Rattus norvegicus: one gene and its partner. The protein of the gene in region 1 interacts with the protein of each later gene in a pairwise test. Links are inferred from orthologs where the notes say so. Each region holds a gene or a part of one and is shown in the gene's direction. Other genes may lie near its edges.

Region 1 (3,069 bases):
AGGCCACCAGTGCTTATGAGGCGAGACAGACTGTTGTCCTGTCCTTAATTCAAGGCCCTGCCTGGTAATAGGTCACAATGCCCCAGAGTGTTCAAATCTAGAATGGTCAACCCAAGTAGGAGGAGGTGAGGAGAGTTGGTGAGGATGTTGGGTGGGAGTCGGGGGAGGGAGATCCCCAAAGAGGCTAGTTCCTCACTCACTGAGCTCACCCTGGAGTGTTGTATCCCTTCACTGATCCTCAATCTCCTAGCACGAGGACTCCCTAATAACCTTTGGGACCTGGCTCTGCTTACTCATGCCCAGAACTATTCTACAGCCAACTTCCTCCTTCCAGAGGGGCTGGAGACTGGAGAGGGATTGAGTAGTGTCAGTGAGCCATGTGTGTCCCCTGGGACTTCAGCCAGGCCCAGCTCCTGGACAGTATCCTAGGGCTGGGGGCGCTAGGAGTGACGATTCGAACAGTCTTCTCAACGGCTGGCCTAGCCCTGCTGCTCCTGTTGCTGTCCAGCTTCCTTGTTTTTGACCTGCTCCGTGGGTAAGTGCCACCTGTCAGGTAGGTGTCACAAACACAGGGACAAATGAGCAGTTGCCTCGAGCTGCCATCTTCTCTCTCCACAGATCCACAGGTCCCAACCTGCCACGGCACAGACTTCTCCCAACAGGTCAGAGCCAGGGGGCTGGTGAAGGGCCAGGACAGCAAGCAGCTCCCCTGTCCCCAACAGGGAGAGTCTCGGGACTGCTCAGACTCCAGGATGCACTGCTCCTGCTGTTCCTGGGCCTCAGCCTGCTCTTGGGAGGCTCTGGTATCCCCTTAGCCATGCTGGGCCTAGCTTTCTGTATCCATCCGTGGGCCTGAGGGGCCTCCAAAAGATGAATGCCTTCTAAAAACACACCATCCAATCTGCTCTCTGATTTCTTCTCCTCCATCCTGAGCTACGTGAGGGTAAGGTTGTCTGTTGGAAGGACAGAATAGTCCAGTATATTCAGCTTGAACCTTCTAGTTCCATAATATGAACATTTGGTAGCTGGGTCTGAGGCTTAGGGCATTAAGAGAAGGCAGAGAAAAGGGTGGTTACAGAAACCAATGCCAGCCATGAAGTTGGAGGCAGCCATCCAGGAGGGACAGGTGTGGAGAAGGCTTCCTACAAGCAAGGAGAATGGCATCTGTGAGGCTTGCTGAGCTCTCCTGCCAGCCTGGAGGGGCCGTGAGTAAAAGACGTGAGTGAGTCTCACACTGCAGCAGCTCTTCTCTCGGCTGGGCCCCACCCCAGCCCGGGTCATAATGCACCCCTCTGGGGATGGTGGGGTGAGCGAGGGTGAGACTGGGACCTGGCTGCCAGGTTAGCCTGCACACAACAGGAAGCACCATGACTTAGGTGGCTCTGCCCAAAGGTGAGTCCTAGCCCCCGGGTCAAAGCCCAATCCTGCCCATGCTGGTATCCTCCTGACCCCTGCATGCCCTCCTATCCAAAGGTCCTGGGCATCTCCAGGGTTGCTCCTGCAGCTGGCCTGGCCCCATCCACAGGTGCACCAGCCGTGATGCAGCAGCCACGAGTGGAGACGGACATCATCGGGGCTGGCGAGGGGCCCCAGCGGGCAGCGCCCTGGTCAGCCTGGGTTCTCCGTCAGGACTGGGTGCGCTGGTGGGTATGCCACATACCTCGGAGCTGGGCCCAGTGGTGGAATACATCAGGCTGGAGGCAACCACTGCAGCGCATGCTATGGGGTCTGGAGGGGACACTGTACCTGCTGCTGGCACTGATGCTGTGCCATGCACTCTTCACCACTGGCTCCCACCTGCTGAGCTCCCTGTGGCCTGTGGTGGCTGTCATGTGGAGCCACCTGCTGCCAGCTGTCCTGCTGCTTGTGCTCAGTGCCCTGCCTGCTCTGCTCTTCGCTGCCTCCTTCCTGCTGCTCTTCTCCACACTGCTGAGCCTCGTGGGCCTCCTCACCTCCATGACTCACCCAGGCTACGCTCAGGACTTGGACCAATAGAAGGGCAACCCCATCTTACTGCTTGTGTCTGTTGAGCCCTGGCCTAGGGCCTGAGCCCTGTGGGGAGGGTGGGCAGGGAAACTCCAACAGACCTCAGACCCCCAGTCACAAACACAAGTGGGGGTCTGGATTCTGGGCATCTACCTTAAACCCACACTGGTGTCAGGAACAGGACGGTCTTGCTAGGACAAACCACGGAAAGCACCATGTCACTTGATCTTCCTGGCAGAACCCTTTTGTCACCACCTCAGCCCTCCCAGCTCCAGGCTTCTTGAGAGTTTCCATGTACATATCCCTGGGCTTGTCTGGATTTGTCCCGGGTCCTCTCTCTAATTCCAGGAGGAGCACACACTCTGGAATGGGTTTTATTGACAGAAAGAGAGGCTGGGGACCTCACCTCACAGAAACGGGAAAGAGGCCAATCATGGGGGAGACTGAGGGAGGGTGGAGAGTGTGTGTGTAGACTGGACCCAAGGCTTTGTGCATAAGCAAACACTCCACCCTACATACTCATATTTTTAAGAGCCTCCAGGTCTGTTACAAAAATGCAAAGTTCCATATCTTGGCCAATTCACTATTCTTGAACCTCAGCGTTAAGGGAGCCCCCATGTTTTCATAATGTCGTTACGATCGAAAGCCAGTATCTGTTTGCAAACTACTTTGCTTTTGCTGTTGTTTTGAAACAGGGTCTCATGAAGCCCAGGGTGGCTTTGGACTCTTTAGCTGGGAATGACTTTGAATTTCTGATCCTGTCGCCTCTATTTATGTGCAGAGTACTGGGATTAAAACTTGCGCCATCATGCCTGGTTTTATGAAAAGTACTTTGTAAGGCTAAACAGCAGTTAAGCTCAAAAGGCCTTTTGATTCAGAAGCTAAAAGATGGAGTATGTTTCTCTAGGCTTGCACAGAAAATCTGTCATGTATGGAGTCCCAGCCCCAGAACTGACATGGAATGAACGGGGCGATGAAATGTGAAAGGTACCACGTGGCCTCACGCTAGGCAGATACTGAACTAGATGAGTTGTGCAATGCCTGAGACCGGAGCCTGGTCCAGGAAATGTTGTAAGGCTGTGT
Region 2 (3,750 bases), on another chromosome or scaffold:
GAGGGGCTGGCTCCCCACCCTCCTGCAGTTCCACCTTCTCTGTGCCTGGTCTCTCCTCTCCATGCTCCTCTTCTTCCTCCTCCTCCTCCTCCTCCCCTTCCTCTCCATCCTCTAGGCTGACAAAACTGACATAAGGACTCAGGTCTCTCAGGTGAAGTGGAGGTTCGTCTCCCAGGAGCCGGGAAGCCCCTAGGCCTGGCCCAGGACCTGGCTCTGCACCTTGCCCCAGGCTGATGCCCACACTGCGGTTTGGTAAAACGTGGAGCACCCAAAGGGCAGGGTCCTGAGGCAGCCTCCTTATCTGAGACTCCAGTTGACGCCATCGGCCCTCAAGGCTTGTTCCCATGGTCCCCCTCTCTGCCACAAACTTGCGGAACCAGCCAAAGAGAAGAGCAGCAAAATCGAGGAACTCATCTCGGTATCCAGACACAAACTCCATGTCTTTAGATACACAGGGCCTGGACCCAGACTGAGCAGAAAGGGATATATGATAACCATGAGGATCAGGGTAGTGGTGGGTTTGGGCTGGGTCACAAAAGGGAGAACGGTGTGGGCTTGAGGTAAGATCTACATAGGAATATTAGGAGCTGAGACTAGGATTTGCAGGGACGGGAATGGAGGGAGGCTAGATGGGAAAGTGGATATTTAGGGTTAAAGGGGAGTACTCAGGGATGAAATTGTACCTGGGGCACAAAACTCAATGACTCAAATCCTAAAATGCGATTTGAATTAAGGGAAGACATGAGGTAAGGCTAATCTTATAGAGAAAGGCTTGCTGAGAAAGGTAAATTTGGGGGTCTGTTGGTCTGTGGGAAATAGAAGTGAAAGTAAGTAACGAGGCATCTCTTGGGTCTGGATCGGTTTGGTGTGAGCCCCAGTTAAAACCCACCCCTTTTCTGGCCGCTCCTCTCCTCCGGTACCTACAGCCGCCACCACTTTTCGAAGGTAAATACCTCGTGCTGGAGGACCGTCGTGACGTCAGGGCCGCCCGTGCCCACAGCTCATAACTTCAGTGGCGCGCTTAGGGCATCTGGCAGTACCTGGCCAGGGCGTGGACAGGGCGTGGACACTCCCACAGTCCTGGGGATTTGTTTGACTGCTTCACCTTGGCCATGTGACTGGATCCTACTGAGACTCAGCGGTCCAGGGAAGTGAAAGCATCTTGGAGCCAGAGGAAGGATCTAGAGGGTAAACCACTTTACAAACCAGCAGACAGACAGATGACCGCTCAAGAGGACTGAAATCCCCGAACCCAACCGAGTCATTCTTCCGGGACCACTGCTTGCTCACTCGGATTCTTCTGGCTCTAGCCCAAGTTTTCTTTCGGTTTTGTCCGATAGTCTTGGCTGACCCTACTGCTGGCCAGGAGTCTCGAGTCGGAAGGAGCTCCGCCTTCCGGGGCAGGGATGTGTGTGTCCCCCGACTGGGAGCTGGGCGCAGCGCGGGCTCCCCGGTACTGACCAGACGGTCGGTTCAGGACAGCGCGCGGGGGACAGAAGGCGCCACCACCTCGCGCCCCCTCCCTTCCTGAGCTTGGCACAGATCAGCGCCTCCGCAAAGCATCAGCCAGGGTGAAGTGAAAGCAATAGAGAATCTGCTGGATGTCGGCTAGGTGACCTGGCCTCAACAAGCTCCGCAGCGGCCTGAGATGAGGCGGGGCTTTGGACCCTTGGCCCTTACACTCTTCCTTTTCTTCTTTGCGCTGCTGACTCTGCCAGGTTAGTCAGGGGGGGCGGGACTGGAGCCCCCTATGGAAACCGCGGAGGTGCACTACGTCCGAGGGATTAAGAACTCAGCCCTGAACCGTCAAGGGCTGCAGCGGTGACTAGGGAAAGTCTTGTCTGAGACAAGGGCAGATTCCTCAGTCTGAAAAACCGAGGCTGATTTCTTTTCCATTTAGGCGATGGCAACCAGGGCAGTGTCGCTGGAAGTTGCTACTGTGATCGTACAATTCCTTCTGGCACCCAGATACCGCCTGCTACTTTGAATCATATGCGAAAATATCTGAAAACGTTCCATCGCTGTCAATTCTTTATCAGGTACTGTCTCTTTCCTTTCCCCGGGAGGGCAGAGTTGTAGAACCAGCAATCTGAATACCCGGTCCAAGTCGGGGAGCCTAGCTCCTTTCTAGCTTCGTCTCTCTGGGGATTTCCAGCCACAGTGCGGCTCACCTGTGACTTCACACCTTTGGAATGAGGAATGGTAGGGAAAGGAAGGAGTGGCCAAGAGACTAGATTGACTTTCTTGCAGGTTCCAGTTGCAGTCCAAGAGTGTGTGTGGAGGAAGCCAAGACCAGTGGGTCCGTGAACTAGTGAACTGCTTTGAGCACAAACGTGAGAGCCTTTTCTGTCCTCCAGTGGGCCATCAGGGTTCAGGCTGCCATCTTACCATTCCCTTTGCCTCTGCCACACAGCACTTTTCCTATTTAAAATCTTTTAAAAACTTTCGCTGAAGTACTGTCACTTAAGTCAGTGTTTTCCCAATATCATTTACTGTCATCTTCCTGCTTTTGGCCAATTTGTCCTACTACATATGCTGTTACTTAATATTTTCTTGAAGTCACTGTTATAAACTGTACTTAAGATTGGTCAAGCTAATCTGCCCCTGATCTATCTCTCTGCTTCTTAAACATTTTTAGACAGGGTCTAACTAAGTTGACCGGGATGGTCTCCTCCTGTTTCAACCTCTCTAGTAGCTGGGATTACAGGACTCTGCAACAGGCTTGGCTTTACCTGCTGTGTTCTAATTGAAATCACCTGAAGGTACTATTTTCACTTTCTAATACTTTTTTCCCCCAAGCATACAAATCTAATTTTCTTTATTTAATCTCCATTAGTTTAAATCTTGGATGGGTACAGCATCACACAGGATCACACGGATTCTGTGTCCAATGGCCTTTGCAGGAAGGTTGCTTTGGAATTTGGCACAAAAACCGCATCACTGTTTCTGTGGGTCCCAGTTACTTTTCCCCAGACCACTCTGGTTTTGTTTGGTTTGCCCCAGATCACTCCTCCAGGAGTCACTGTATTTTTTTTTTTTTTTTTTTTTTGCTTTGAACACATAAGAACACCTCTTGCGCTCTTGTTCTCTCTTGCTCTCTTTCTCTCTAACCCCCCCCCCCACATACTCATGGCTGGCCTCTATTCCCCCACACACACACCTCCACCTCTCTCTCTCTCTCTCTCTCTCTCTCTCTCTCTGCCTCTACGACTCTCTTAACTCCCCCCATGCCCTGAATGAACTCTATTTTATAAAAAAACAAAAACAAAAACAAAAAAACAAAACAAACAAACAAACAAAACCCACCTCTTCCCTAAGTAGAACTCAGTTTCATCTCAGGCATAAACACCTTCAATTTTAAGAAGAGCTGTGTGCTCTCTTTGGTTCCAGAGACCTCGCTTGTAGCCAGCATTGTTTGCACCACAGCCTTCCAGACATACTTGCTTTTTTTTTTAGAAGTCCTGTTCCCAGCAGGCCTCCAAAAGTGCACTCACGAGGCAGAGACAGGCAATCTCTGTAAGTTGGAGGCCAACCTGGTCTACAGAGCTAGCTCTAGGATGGCCAGGCTACACAAAGAAACCCTGTCTCAAACAATTAGTTTACCTGGTATCAAAGGTACCCCACTGCCTTTCAGGCTACAGAGACTACATTGTATTCTTCAACCCTCTCAGATACCCTAGGCCTTTTACTCTGAAGAGAGTCCCAGAAGGCTGTAGACGAGGGGTAAAGGACATCTAGGGTCCCATGCAG

The links.
Region 2: the proteins of Tmem239 (region 1) and Cxcl16 interact in a two-hybrid assay, tested with the Homo sapiens proteins (2 studies listed by BioGRID). The two-hybrid records come from large-scale screens. The link is inferred for Rattus norvegicus from reciprocal best matches to the Homo sapiens genes TMEM239 and CXCL16.

The regions. Positions count from the first base shown.
Region 1 is NC_086021.1:138,056,542-138,059,610, forward strand, and holds Tmem239 (transmembrane protein 239), read left to right. Parts: upstream 1-1,335; 5' UTR 1,336-1,392; intron 1,393-1,473; exon of another isoform or gene 1,474-1,525; 5' UTR 1,526-1,539; coding exon 1,540-1,995; 3' UTR 1,996-2,549; downstream 2,550-3,069. Other genes in the region: uncharacterized protein C20orf141 homolog, read left to right, coding at 378-535, 619-856.
Region 2 is NC_086028.1:55,667,563-55,671,312, reverse strand, and holds the start of Cxcl16 (C-X-C motif chemokine 16 precursor), read left to right. Parts: upstream 1-1,362; 5' UTR 1,363-1,648; coding exon 1,649-1,718; intron 1,719-1,900; coding exon 1,901-2,039; intron 2,040-2,250; coding exon 2,251-2,333; intron 2,334-3,750. Other genes in the region: Zmynd15 (zinc finger MYND domain-containing protein 15), read right to left, coding at 1-439. UniProt on the Homo sapiens protein: Acts as a scavenger receptor on macrophages, which specifically binds to OxLDL (oxidized low density lipoprotein), suggesting that it may be involved in pathophysiology such as atherogenesis. Induces a strong chemotactic response. Induces calcium mobilization.